3 linked regions of the Rattus norvegicus genome follow. The protein of the gene in region 1 interacts with the protein of each later gene in a pairwise test. Links are inferred from orthologs where the notes say so. Each region holds a gene or a part of one and is shown in the gene's direction. Other genes may lie near its edges.

What was found. The genes of interacting proteins can lie anywhere in the genome.
Region 2: the proteins of Erg28 (region 1) and Aqp2 interact in binary tests that used the Homo sapiens proteins (3 or more experiments, as listed by UniProt). The link is inferred for Rattus norvegicus from reciprocal best matches to the Homo sapiens genes ERG28 and AQP2.
Region 3: the proteins of Erg28 (region 1) and Tk1 interact in a two-hybrid assay, tested with the Homo sapiens proteins (2 studies listed by BioGRID and IntAct). The link is inferred for Rattus norvegicus from reciprocal best matches to the Homo sapiens genes ERG28 and TK1.

Annotation. Positions count from the first base shown.
Region 1 is NC_086024.1:111,204,128-111,208,500, reverse strand, and holds the end of Erg28 (ergosterol biosynthetic protein 28 homolog), read left to right. Parts: intron 1-2,418; coding exon 2,419-2,537; coding exon of another isoform or gene 2,538-2,626; exon of another isoform or gene 2,627-2,643; coding exon 2,644-2,723; 3' UTR 2,724-3,398; downstream 3,399-4,373.
Region 2 is NC_086025.1:132,588,708-132,593,927, forward strand, and holds the start of Aqp2 (aquaporin-2), read left to right. Parts: upstream 1-1,578; 5' UTR 1,579-1,662; coding exon 1,663-2,022; intron 2,023-4,597; coding exon 4,598-4,762; intron 4,763-5,118; coding exon 5,119-5,199; intron 5,200-5,220. UniProt on the Homo sapiens protein: Forms a water-specific channel that provides the plasma membranes of renal collecting duct with high permeability to water, thereby permitting water to move in the direction of an osmotic gradient. Plays an essential role in renal water homeostasis.
Region 3 is NC_086028.1:103,533,936-103,538,575, reverse strand, and holds part of Tk1 (thymidine kinase, cytosolic), read left to right. Parts: intron 1-2,876; coding exon 2,877-2,966; intron 2,967-3,241; coding exon 3,242-3,361; intron 3,362-3,439; coding exon 3,440-3,625; 3' UTR 3,626-4,640. UniProt on the Homo sapiens protein: Cell-cycle-regulated enzyme of importance in nucleotide metabolism. Catalyzes the first enzymatic step in the salvage pathway converting thymidine into thymidine monophosphate.

The DNA of each region.
Region 1 (4,373 bases):
CCTTTGCTGGCAATCAGGCCCCTCGGGCACATTCAGACATGTGCCCTGTCATGCTCTTGGTACCTGTTGATTCAGTTTACTGCATTAGCATAGCACATAGAAAATGAGAGGCCTGTTGAACCATTCCTTCCAAACCAGGCCATACCAAATGGTGTCAGACCCCTTCATTAGAGCACACCTTTCTCCTACTAAAGAGCCCCTCAGGGTTTGGTTTGGTATCATTTCACAGTGCTAGGGGATCAAATGAAGAACCTTGGGCATGGTTGACAAATGCTCAAGCTCTGGGCTGCATCCCTAGTCCTATACACACCTTTTGCACCTTCCTCCTTAATCATAAATCCATGAAAAAAAAAATCTCTCTGTACATTCTTTCTTTCTCTTCCCCCTCCTCTCTCTCTCTTCCCATAGCAACTCCCCTGGCCTCTCTCTGTACACATTCTCTCTCTTTCTCTTCCCTCTCCCCTCTCTCTTTCTTCCCGTAGCAACTCCCCTGGCCTCAGTCCCTGGGGCCAGGAAACTTGCCCTAGAGCAGCTTACAATAAACCTGCATGTAAAAACCATAAATATAAAGAAACTGAAAGAGGCAAACACACGCCTCTTGAGTGAGGTGATGATGCCATACTCAGTTCTGGCCACTAGAGGGAGCCCAAGGTTTCTTCCCTGCGGTAATCACCACTGGCTAAGTAGAAGCAGTCATTGCTCAGTTCACTGGGTGAAGCTGTCAAAAGGCCAACCTCACGCTGAAATCTTTTTAATCTTGTCCCTCCCTTCAGCATGGGGGAAGAGAGGAAGCAATATTTATGGCTCCTCTCTGATTTTGTGAGGCACTTTCACCTACATGACTTTGAGTCTCTTAGCAACCCCTTGGGGGAAAGGGGTTAGTGATTCTTATTACTGATCTTGCAGTCTAAATATTAAAAAAAATCCAATTAATTTAAGTAGAGGAAGACTGACTCAAGTGGGATTTAAAGCAAGACTATTAGCCTTTGATCTTTCCATCTTTATTTTTAATTTTTTTTTAACTTGAAACTGAATTACATGTCCTAGATTGCGAACACATATTTTTAGAAGCAGGATGGTTTAGTGGAAACTGCCTGGGGTCAAGAAGGAAAACACATCCTGCTCGTCGTTTTGTTGGTAATCAGGCTGATTACTGTGTTCTCGGTCTGAGGGATGATAATAGCTGTTCTACCTCTCAGAGTGAATGAAAAGGCTGGAGAATCGGCTAATCATTTTGAGGACCTTTTACCACCATGAAGAATTGCTGATGGGTATCGGGGGTGTGGAGTGCTCCAGGTGAACAGAGAGAAGTCATCCTCTTCCCCCCATTCGTTGTTCCTTCTTCTGACCCAGAGCAGCTGCAAATGCTTTTCTGTCCTCTCTGGTTTAGGACTTTGATCCATAGACCTCTGACGTGCATCTGAGCTTATCAGCTCTCTAGCCGGAAATTCAGAATCACCTTGTGTTCACACACACACACACACACACACACACACACACACACACACACACACCAACAACAACATGCACCAGCATTATAAAAAGCAAATTTAAGATACTGGTTCTTTTAGAAAGAAAAGGGAGGAGAAGAAGACAGTCAGGGCAGGCTACGGGCATAAATGTTTTCAATTTTTAGTTCTTTAATGTAAAAATATCCCATCTTGGGGGCCTAGCTCAGAGGCAGAATGTTTTCCTGGCATTCATGAGGCCCTGAGTTTGATCCCCAAAACCAGAAAAAGGAATCTAAACCAAAATGTCCAAGTATTAAAACTGAAAGGGCTCAGTCCTTGTCACAGTTCACTATCTTGGAGTGTTTACTAAATTTTTTTCATAGTTTACAAAGAAAGAAAAAAAAAGACAACACAGACATCTAAAATTTCAATGGTCAGCCACCACCTTGTTATCAAAAGCGATGAACAAGTTCTTCTCCTCTGGGACTCTTACATGTCCTCCTCAGACCAAACTTTAGGCTGAGACATAAAGTAGCCAACGTGTACTGCAAGCGCATCTAAAAGCCTCGTGCTACCCAATCCCCGTTCAGTATATTCATTTATGGTTCCGGCATACAGCACGGGCTGGCACATAGCCAGGCACCTGCTAGGGTAGCCTTAGGTTGCTGAGTCTGTTGCTTTGCACTGAGTACATAAGTGACCCTAGTCCAGAATTGCTGCACTGTCCCAGACTGCAATCCAGACTCTCCACAGTGGAGTTCTCAACAAGTCCTAGAAGCCCACTCGGGCTGCTTGGCCCATGCCTCAAAACCTTTTGTCCCAGAAGAGGAGAACTTGATGTGATTAAGTAGCCAGGTGTGTCTGAGGAACGTGTGTCCTTTCAACTACAGTTGTGTCATATCAGCTGACACTTTCCGCACCAACAGTGCAGTAACTTTGGTTCCCATGTCTGTCTGTTCCCTTGCAGACTCTATCACATCACACTGTGGACATTCCTCCTTGCCCTGGGACACTTCCTCTCGGAGTTGTTTGTATTTGGAACAGCGGCTCCCACAGTTGGTGTGCTGGCACCCTTGATGGTAGCAAGTAAGCACTGGGCCACCCTAGACCCCTTCAGTGGCGGGGCTGGTGCAGAGGCTGCGCTGGGCGTGAGGTGCTGTTTCTATCACCATTAATCTTTTCTGTGTTTAAGGTTTCTCAATCCTGGGTATGCTAGTTGGGCTCCGGTACCTAGAAGCAGAACCAGTATCCAGACAGAAGAAAAGAAATTGAGGCCAACCTTGCCAGCTCTGAAACATCATGGTCTTCCACCTTTGCTCTCTTTATTCACCCTCTGTCCTTAAATCATTTCCTTTTGGCTGCATCCTTAGCTCCTTCTCTAGGTTCAGCATCTTAAGCATTTGAGAGGGTTTTTGTTTTTTGATTTTGGGGTTTTTTTATGTTTTTAAATTTTTTAAGGTATTAATAAGAAATTACATAACATGTATGTATAATTTAGAGTCATTTCAAAAATACTCTGTTAGACCTTCAAAGTCAAGGAATTTTGAGAAGCTCCCTAATGTGTCCTCCCCCTAGCTATAACCCCTCCAGGCTCCATTTTCTGTTCTTTTTGCTTTTTGTTGTTTGTTTCTCTGCATTCCTTGATTTGACTTGTGTGGTGGGAGCAGAACCGTGAAACTGCAGCTGCTGCCTGCCCAGAGCAGCTGCAAGCAAGGGCTGCTTCATGGGGCTAAGCACATATCTGGGCTCCTTTCTACGCTGGACCCAAGACTCGGAACCAGCCAAGGCACAGGCAGTTCTTCTGAGAAGGGCTGCCCTCGAGCAGGACCAGGCTCCTCTTATCTACAAGTGGATGAAGGTTGGAAGAGTCTGGGCTGTTTTTAGACATTTTGGTCAGTTGTTTTTGTGTAATGCATTTTGTAATAAATAGGGAAACCTTCTATTCTGATCCATCTTTGTACTTTGACCTTTCCTAAGAACCTTTTTACCCTCCAAACCCTCTGTACCCAACACAGGAACATGGTAGCCTGCTTTGCCTTTCCACCCACTGTTCTGACGGCTCAAGACCGGGAGAGCGAGGCTCCTCATTGTCCACCTGCTCACTTGTGTTCTTGATGCCAAATCTTCTTCCTTCTTCACCTTCAGGACTCTCGTGGGCAGCTGGACAGTTATGGCCTTTCCCATTTTCCTCCCAAAGAAGCAGACTCCTGAGAACAGATATGGGAAGTAGAGCAAAGCAGCCTGGGCCAAACGACATGAGTGTGTAAAGAAGCAAGGCCAGGCCAGGCGTGCTGGTGACACCTTTAATCCCAGCACTTGGGAGGCAGAGGCAGGTGGATCTCTGTGAGTTTGAGGCCAATCTGGAAAAGCCAGGAGAGAGAGAAAGAGAGACAGGCACAGACAGACAGACAGACAGACAGACAGACAGACATGCACGCACAGCAAGGGTGATGCCACCATATGAACTTCATACAGAATTCTGTAAGAAAGCCAGGTGTTTGAGTCAAGAGGTAGAGCTGATAGGTGATAATTAAATCGATCAGAAAGACCTCCCTGAGCTGGAGGCGGGTTAAGGGGGGGCGTGAGGGGGTGTCTCAGCTGAGACTCAAATACCCAGAAGGTGGATGTCTTGAGATTCAATGCCCAGAAGGTCATCTGAAGCATTAAATAGTCATTAAATGCCATCGAGGCATTTAGGGCAAAAAGAGCAGCAGCTGTGGAAGGAATGAGCACCGTGAAGCTACAGGAGGGTGAAGGCCTTGGCCGTGAGAGGCGGGAGGTCAGAGGACAGAAGTAGTCAGTAGACAGAAGTAGGAGGATGGCCAGTTTTTAGCTAAGTACATAGAAAGCATCAGTGCTTTACAGGGAAAATTTGCCTTAAATGACTTTAAACAGTAAGCATGCCGTGGATGCTGTAGCCAA
Region 2 (5,220 bases), on another chromosome or scaffold:
GACTCCTCTGAGGGCCTCTGTTGGTGTCGTGTATTCATTCTTTTTTTTTTTTTTCCGGAGCTGGGGACCGAACCCAGGGCCTTGCGCTTGCTAGGCAAGCGCTCTACCACTGAGCTAAATCCCCAACCCTCATGTATTCATTCTTATCTTGCCCCCTAACAGCAGGAGTTGCAAGTCATGTGTGGGAGGCAAGTGTGCATGTGCCCACGTTGTATACGTGGGTGTTTACTGTGCATCTTACTATGTTCTGAAAACTAAGGGGAGAAGCATCACTGTCTGGCCCTGTCTGGGCAAGGAGAGCAGGGCTCAGAGCAGACCTGGGCAGTGCAGGGTGTCAGGAAAGCACTCCTTGATGGGTTCTAGTCTGAGCTCAGCCACCAATCTTCTGGGGTACCCTGGGAAGAAATGGACCCTCCCTTAGCTTCAGTCACCCCTTAGTGTGTCTCCACCACATGCTCATCGGTTTCTCACACATTCCTGTCCCTTGGGCTATGGCTGGCCAGGGGGACTAGAAGCCTGTCATCTGGATGCACTGTAAGCACTCCTGCCTTTGGATCCCCAAAGAAGGAAGAGGCATCAGGTAGGTCAGTCTTCTGAGGCTCCACAGCCACAGGAGCTGTGAGGGCAGGTGACCTTGTAGAACACTGACCAAGCTGAGTGGTCCCGCCACCAGAAACATCTTCCTCCTCTGAGCTCAAAGATGGTACCTAGAGTCTGTTGTAGCCTCAGAGACTCTGAGTTTGGGGGACAGGACCTATTTACCTCAAAATGCAAATAGCACTGAGCAATGACTGACATAGTAACGCAGATCTCTATCCTACGAGATAGTTTTATTACCTCATCTATAGAGACAGAGCGGGGATGTCACATCTGGAGTGCGTGCTGCAGAACAGAAGCCCTTGTGTTTCTTGTTGGCTCTGGATGACTCTACCACACAGGGCTAGGGTCCCCGGGGGCCACTGAAGCCACCCTTGGCTCCGGGCAATGGGAGTTACTCTCTGGCTGGGGTTCCTGGGTGAAGGTGAAACATAATAACTTCTGGGTGATTAACTGCAAGAAAGCAAGCACAAGACCTTTGCCTTGGAAATCTGTCCCAGGCCAATCAGTTGTTTTCCATCCTCTTCCAGAAGAAAGACCGACCATCCAGTCAGCGGAAAGGTAGTTCCCACATTTTCTCACAGTTTGGGCTGAGGTGGTGCCCCTTCCTTGGCCAGCCTTTTAGTCGAAGAGAAGGTCACTGGACACGGTCTCCAATGCAGGAACTGGAACTGGTGGTCACTCTGGGGGCTGGGGAAGCCCTGGGGCAGCTCCCTGGAGTAACTGAGGAGAAAAAAAATGAGGAAAACAGAGGACGTCAATCCTTATCTGGAGTTCATTAACGAGGAGAACATTTAGTCAGCTGTGGAAGCTAAGATGGGACGATAGGGCCTTCAGGTGGGCAGGAGCATGGGTTGGGGCAAGGCCACCACGGGAGAGCATGGTGTGGGCAGGAACGCCTCCTCCATACCACGTGCCCAAGCCTACGATAGGAAGGTCCTATAAGTGCCCACGGTCTAGCCTCCCCAGAGGCCCAGAGGAAGAGAGAAGAGAAAGAGAGAGGGAGGGAGGAAGAGCCACCCCCGTGGCCCAGACCCCTGGCCAGCGCGCAGAAGTCGGAGCAGCATGTGGGAACTCAGATCCATAGCCTTCTCCCGAGCAGTGCTGGCTGAGTTCTTGGCCACGCTCCTTTTTGTCTTCTTTGGCCTTGGCTCAGCCCTCCAGTGGGCCAGCTCCCCACCCTCTGTGCTCCAGATCGCCGTGGCCTTTGGTCTGGGCATCGGCACCCTGGTTCAGGCTCTGGGCCATGTCAGCGGGGCACACATCAACCCCGCCGTGACTGTGGCATGCCTGGTGGGTTGCCATGTCTCCTTCCTTCGAGCTGCCTTCTATGTGGCTGCCCAGCTGCTGGGCGCCGTGGCTGGGGCTGCCATCCTCCATGAGATTACTCCAGTAGAAATCCGTGGGGACCTGGCTGTCAATGCTGTAAGTAGCCTGAGTTTTGTCTCCTCCAGGAGGGGCAGTCACTGAAAACCCTTGCGACGGGTAAGATGGGTGGGACAGGCTCTGGGTGAGGGAACGGAGAGCCGAAGGCCAGGAAGGCTAGGAACACAACTACCCAAGGAGAGCTGGAAGGAAAGCAACAGGGTCACCGGGAGCAGAATCCTGGTGGCCGCCTGTAGGGCCTTCCACCCAGCACCACCAAGGAACAGAAGTCTGGATTTCTATTAGACTCCATGGGAGGACTAGGCTAGACCCTAGCAGGACACAGCAGCCTAGCACAGACAGGCCTTGGGGGCCTTGGGGACTCCAGAGTGCAGTTACAGGGATCTAGAGAAGAAGATATCCCAGCAGCATTGAGCTTGTGAGGACTGGGCAGTGCCGCTCACAAGGCAACACTGACACTATGTAAGGTGGAGCAGGCTCCAGGCAGGAAGCACCCCCAAACCCTGATTCAACCCCAAAACCCATGATCTCTCCAGCAACCAACTATCCAAAGTGCCATCTGGGCTTTGTCTTCCAAACCAAGAAACAGACTTGGGAAGGGAGGCCAGAGATCAGATTTGTTAATACCAGAAGTACCAGAACCTGGCAGAAGCCTACAGGAAGAGACTCTTGGAGTCTGCCTTCATGCTATAATGGTGAAACAGCACCCAGGGCACTTTGAGAGTTGAAGGTGAAGCCATGGTCTGTCTGCTCTCCAATCTGCGCAGGCCTAGGAATGTGGGGACCCTGTCAGGATCCCAAACTAGGAAAGCAAGTGTCTCTCGGGGCTCCTCCCTTTTCATTTCTCTACTGAGTCAATCCCTTGGCCCTGCACACATACTCCTCTGCACATGGCTTTCCTCATGAGAGGGACAGAAGTCTCCCCATGAGGGACCACTCTTCAAAAACAGAAAAGGGGCAGGGGATCTAGAGCCACAAGGGGGCAAGGGGCAAGCTGAGGTGTGAAGGGTGTCTATACCTAGTAAAATGAGCTTGTTTTAAAACAGGGAGACATACAGCTAGTCAAAGAACCCCCTGAAAACATGCCATAGGCTTTCTCTAGCACCGAGGCCCTGGGAACACCAAAGCCCTGGGGAACAGCCATCCCTTATCCCCCATCCACCCACCACATATCCCAGCCTACCCACCCCTCAGCACCAAAGACTGTTTCTCTGCCTTGACCCACCTTAGGTGGTAGAGGGAGCCCTGTCTGTCTGGGATAGGGCATCGGAGGGCCCATTTGCCCTGAGGCTAGGGAGAGACCAGCAACCACTGAAGCAGTCAGTGTTCTCTGAGGATGCCACCAAGAGTCAGCTTGGACCCCAGGAAGCTGCCACTGATGGCGATCATCCCTGTGCCAGGTCACATACTATCTTGTCCTTGGTAGAGCACTGTAACTTCAGTTCTGAGCTCTCCCCCTCCCTATGGTTTAAATCCAGCATTCAGTGACCCAAATCGTGGAAGCAATAAACAGTACCATCCAAGGGACAGCCTGGGCTTGTGTGACACCAGACTCAAACCTACACCATCAGTCTCTGAACAGCATTGCCAGCAAGAGTGGGGCCAGAGGTTCGTCCTTGCCACCCTCAATCTTCTAGGGTTGGTTTTATCCTGCACATCTGTACAGAATGAGATACTGAGACTCAGATAGTCTCCCGTCGAGCTGGAGGAGGCCAAGGTGGGAGTCCCAAGTCCTTGTTCCTGTCTCTAAGGGGCTGTAGCACAGTAGAGGCTGAGGCTAGACCCCAGAAAGATCTTGAAGCATCAGGCTAGGAGCTCAGGACCTAAAGGAGTGTGGGAGTTGAAAGTTGTCACCAATCTACCCCATGCAGTGCTCAGCCCCAGAGGGCAGGGTGTGGGGTGCAGGATGACAAAACCCTGAAATGCATCGCTGGGTGTGGCCAGGTTATGAAATGGCCCCTGAGCTCAGCACCAAGTTCTCTTCTTTCCCGGGGTAGGGGCTGCAGGGACAGTGGGTACCCTATGTGGGTATGAAGGTCCGCCTTCAGCATCCTCAGACTCCACAGGATGTACAGGGAACAGCTATGGGGACAGAAGCAAGGCCTGAATGCAAGGGGTGGAGGGGAGGCAGAGAGAGGTGAGGGGAATTAGGCCATAAGTTCCTCCACCATAAGACCACAGAAAGACACTCTCACTCTCTCTCTCTCTCTCTCTCTCTCTCTCTCTCTCTCTCTCTCTCACACACACACACACACACACACACACACACACACACACACACACACCCTGTTGCATCAGTATGACCTAGAGCTCACACTAGCCTTTCTAGTACCAGGTCCAAAGCTTCCTGCTGCAACAGTAACCTCTTCCCAAAATCTGAAACACAGTATCTCTTTCCTCTCGCAAACCTCAGTCTCCTGGGCTGTCAGTTCTGAGACCCACCTCCCAGCCTCGGGCTGCCCCAGGTCCATCCTCTACCGTGGGACCAGGATTCAGAAGGGGCAGTGGTTACAATTGAGGTGGAGGATGGTATTCTGGCTCCGGAAGCAGGTGACAGGAAGAGGGGGCAGTGTGACCAGCCTCCCTAGACTCATCCCTCCATCTTTCTCTCCAGCTCCACAACAACGCCACAGCTGGCCAGGCTGTGACTGTAGAGCTCTTCCTGACCATGCAGCTGGTGCTGTGCATCTTTGCCTCCACCGACGAGCGCCGCGGTGACAACCTGGGTAGCCCTGCCCTCTCCATTGGTTTCTCTGTTACCCTGGGCCACCTCCTTGGGGTAAGTCACAGACAGCCACAGGTTCCAGCTGCCCTACAAGAACTAGAACATATATGTCCCCCAAAGAAACGGTCACCTATCGCTGTAGAGATGGATACATGCAACTCCCTAGACGAACTGTCTCACAGAACGCCCAAGGGGACACCTACTGAAGCTGTGACCCCTATAAGACAGATATCCTTAGAGTGTCCTTGAACTCGCAGAGATCTTGCCTCCCAAGTGCTGGGATGAAAGGTGTGGATCGTAGTCCCAACTTCAAGCTGAGGCCAAGTGTTCCCAGCACTGGAAAGGAGGCTGAGAATGCCCTGCCCTGTCTGTCCTCACCTCCTCTCCTCTATCTGCCTCTCCCACTACAGATCTATTTCACCGGTTGCTCCATGAATCCAGCCCGCTCCCTGGCTCCAGCAGTTGTCACTGGCAAGTTTGATGATCACTGGGTAATGGCCAAACCCCTGCCT
Region 3 (4,640 bases), on another chromosome or scaffold:
CTGCTAGACTTTGCTGTGGCTCTCTGGCCGCCCACCAGTCTTACGCTCTACCCTGGAAGGAGAGAGGCTGTTTGGGTTTAGAGGAGGAATGTTCCAATCTGTCCCTCGTGTGCCCCCGACCCCCAGGATAGAATGAGAAAGCTCTGGCCATGATACCCTCGTCATGCTCTTGGCATCTGTCTATCCATTTGGACATGCCTGATCTGTTTTGTCCTCAGAGGTAAACCTTGGGAGTGCAATGGCTGTGCAGACGTTGACTTAGGACACAGTTTCCCCCCTCAGGCCTGCGGCAGTAGCCTGCTTACTCTGTGCTCTCCTGGTATTCCCAGAGGCCCAGCCGCACTCCCTAGGCACTACCTTCTTTTCTTTTCTTTCTTTCTTTCTTTCTTTCTTTTTTTTTTTTTAAAGATTTGTTTATTTATTCACTATAGCTGTCTTCATGCACACCAGAAGAGGGCATCAGATCCCGTTACAGATGGTTGTAAGCCACCACGTGGTTGCTGGGAATTGAACTCAGGACCTCTGGAAGGGCAGTCAGTGCTTTTAGCCGCTGAGCCATCTCTCCAGCCCACTACCTTCTTTTCTTAGCTCTTCCTGCTTGATAGACTCATACCCAGGTCTGGCACCAGCCTACCAGTCGCCCCAACCCTCTTCCCCATCCTAACCTATAGGAGAGATTTATTTCTATGCGCCCCACCCCCACCCCACCTTATGATTAAGGAAAACGAGTTCATTTAGTGGCTACTTGGAGTTTTGGGGTGGGGTCTTGCTTTGTGGTCCAGGCTAGATTAGAACTCGGGCCCCTGAGTGCTGGTATTGTGTAGTCATGGGCCCTCGCACAGGCTACAGTGAGTATTCAGTGTGCACTGTATAAACAACACAATTCTTGTGTGCTTCCGCCCCAGACTCTAGACCCTGTTCCTTACTAAGTTCAGGATCTCCTCGTGGTAACACAAGGAGATTGCCCTTCCTTCCTGTGTCCTCAGACAGTGGGTAGAGGGTCCTGTAGGGTCCCTGGAGCCAGAGCTGAGGACATAGAGCTTCCCGTGTGTTCATTCACCAGAAGCAGGGCCCACAGCTTCTGGGCAAGATTAGAAGCTTGCATCGTTAAGAACTTTGTTTCCCTTCTTTTTGACGCAGTAATGACAGGCTCAATGTAGGGCACAGCAGGAGCACACCAGACAAAGGAGGCTTGCCACTTAAGTGTCTTTGAACCAGAAACTACCAGGAATGCCCTGCGAGCCAATATTGTGGGTTCTAAAGCCTGCCACGGGGCAAACACTAGTCGTGGAACAGTGGCCCTCCGGGAGGGGACCGAGCTCCTTTTGGCGGAAGGGTGGTGCTTGTTTGATTGCTTCTGGCATAGACTGCACCTGCTTTGTCAGTGGTCACGTGAGACTGAGGAAGGGTCTTTATTCATGCGGCCAGGGTGCCTGCCTTGCCTGGTGTTGACCCAAGAGATTATGTTCAGCCAGTGCCAGGACTCTGATGAATGCCAGTCCAGCCTGGACGCTTCTAATTATACACGTGTGTTTTTATAGAGCAAGCCATGTCACATGCTGTGACTATTGTGGGAATGGCTGAGTCCAGGGACCAATCGCATCCATTCCAAGTTTCTGCCCTTTGGCTGCGGCATTCTAGGTCTGGAGATAAATCTGGAGCTTCCACCTCACCTCCGTTGAAAGACTAAAACTGGGAGGGACCGTGGAAGAAGAGAAAGGTTAGAACGTTAAGGTGTAGGGCAGAGATATGTTCAAGAAAAGGTCCAAGAACCAGGCAGGCAGGAGATTGCTTTGCAACCCAGGCCAGCCTGGGTTGCACAGCAGTAACCAATCAAAAGTGAGAGACAGAAGGGATGGGGAGACAGTTCTGTCAGTGAGGGAGGCCCTGGCTCTGCAGGCATGAGTGCCTGAGTTTGGGTCCCTAGCACCCGTGTACAACACTGGGTATAGCCACATGTCCATAATCCCAGTGTGAGGAAGGCAGAGACAGGCAGGCCCCTGGAGCTCCCTGACTAGGCAGCCCAGCCCAGTAGCTGTGCTCCAGATTCAGGAAGAGACCCAGCTCAAACGAAATGGAAGCGCCAGGCTCATAGCATAGGCCTTTAATCTTAGAACTTCAGGGGCAGAGGCAAGTAGATCTCCTGAGTTCAAGGCTAACCTGGTCTACACCCGTGCTGTGAAGGGGGAGGCTGGCCTGAGAGACAGTGGAAGGCGGAGGGCAGCTATCCCTGCCAACCTACTTACGTACGCCTTGTACATCTCATTACCAAGAGTCCCCCTCCTCCTTCCCTCCCTTCCTCCCTCCAGCTGTCCATGGGGGCTAAAAGTGCATGTGTGCATGTGAGGGTGGGTGCCTGCAGATGCCAAAAGAGGACATTAGCTGTCCTTGCATCTGGAGTTACAGATGGTTTGTAAGCTATCTGTTGTGGGTGCTGGGAATTGAATTCTAGTTATCTATAAGAACAAGCCATGCTTGTAACCCCTGAACCATCTCTCCAGCCCTGGTTTATTTTAACTTCCTAATCCTTCTACCTTTAAAGTAGTGGTATTGTGTTGGACACCTTGTCTGGCTCATTTGATGTGGGGGTAGGGGATGGGGGTGGAGCCAAGGGCTTCATGCACACTGTTTAAGCTGTTCAACCCCAGGGGGGTCTCGACCCACTAGTTGAGAACTGCTGTTCCAGCCTCTCTGGTATGTAGAGGCCTCTGTGGGCCAGCCCTGGGTAGCAGTGGGCATGCAGGTGGGATGTTTCACAGGAGTGGCAGTGCGGTCTGATCTCCGGCTCTGGGCTTACCTGTGTGCTCGGATCCCTCACCGTCTTCATGAGGCCCTTGCTCAGGACGGCTCACTTCATCCTCTCTGAACTTTCCTAGTTCCCTGACATTGTGGATTTCTGTGAAACGATGGCCAATACAGGCAAGACAGTGATTGTGGCGGCGCTGGACGGAACCTTCCAGAGGAAGGTAAAGATGTCTGACCCATGGCAGCGGTCTTGAGAGGGGAGACAGCATGCAAGGTCTCCCCATGCAGCTCTCTAGTGAAGCAGGACCAGTAAAGTATGATGTTGCTGAATCATGGGGTTTAAAAGAGAAGCGTTGGGCTGGGGGCAGCCCAGGCTGTAACACACTTGCCTTGCACACAGGCTTGCGTCAGTTCCGCAGAACTCCCTCCACACGCATACACGTGAACACAGGCAGGGAGGGAAGTGCCTGGCTAACACTTTTGCTGTCCTGTGTAGGCTTTCGGCAGCATCTTGAACCTGGTGCCCTTGGCCGAGAGTGTGGTGAAGCTCACCGCTGTGTGCATGGAGTGCTTTCGAGAAGCTTCCTACACCAAGAGGCTGGGCCTGGAGAAAGAGGTATCTCCTTGTGCTTCTGCCCACGGAGTGGGGTGGGCTTAGGCTTCTGAGTCCTCCCTCATACGCCTCTCCTACCAGGTGGAGGTGATTGGCGGAGCGGACAAGTACCACTCTGTTTGCCGCCTGTGCTACTTTAAGAAGTCTTCAGCCCAGACTGCAGACAACAAAGAGAACTACTCAGTGCTGGGGCAGCCTATAGAGATCCCGGCTGTCAGGAAGCTCTTTGCCCCTCAGCAAATCCTACAGTGTAACTCTGCCAACTGAGGGGACCCGGGGCCTGCCAGCTCCTTCCCCAGGTTGGACTCCCAGAGAGCAGGGAAAGGGGCGGGGCCTGCCATTCCTACTGGACATTGCACCTTGGCTTATCTGCTTGTTGAAACCTTTCTTAGTTCCCTTCTTATAATGGTTGTGAGCCCCCAACCCAACGCTTCTCTCTTAAACCCCGTGATTCAGGCAACATCATACTTTACTGGTCTTGCTTCACTAGAGAGCTGCATGGGGAGACCTTGCTGGAAATTGAACTTGGGACCTCTGGAAGAGTGGTCAGTCCTCTTAACCCCTGAGCTATCATTCCAGCACCTTTAGCTCCCTTCTTGGTTGCCAAGACACCTCAGCACAGACTGGAGCCCAGACCCTGCCTGGTGGCTCGGGTCTCACATTCAGCCAAAGGTGAGAACAGAGCCACCCAGCATTGTGACATTGGTGGTGCTAGCTTCTTCCTTGTTGGTGGCTTTCACTGCTGGGTTTCCGTTTCAGCCCCACACTTTACCAAGGCTCTAGCCTTCTCACAGCTCTCCCATATATGTATCCCTTGACCCCTACTGCCATTATAGCTCCAATCCTTCTCTGCTCAGCTCTCAGTAAGCCAAGGGAGTATGTTTCTTGTGCCCCATTACTTATAACTTACTTAGCCTGGGTTTCCCTAAATCTTGCAACTAGCACCCACATGACTTGGGGGTAGAAATTTCTTCTGTAGTACTAATGGTCTCCACCACAGCCCAAGAGGAACAGTCACCCACATTTCTATCTGGTTGGTTTGGGGACAAAAATGGCAAAGGCACCTGCCAGGAGAGTCAGGAGATGGTGTTTCTAGCTGGCACGGAAGGTCAGGTTTTGTGAGACCGATACCTGATAGATTGAGTTGAGGAAACGGCTCAGATGGCCTTGGAAAGTGGGCAGGGTGACACTTGAGGACCAGAGACCTGGGTCTAAGGTGTGGGGTGCTGCTGGTGCCATGCCCAACTGCTCAAGGCATGCTCTCCAGAGGAGGCCCACAGCT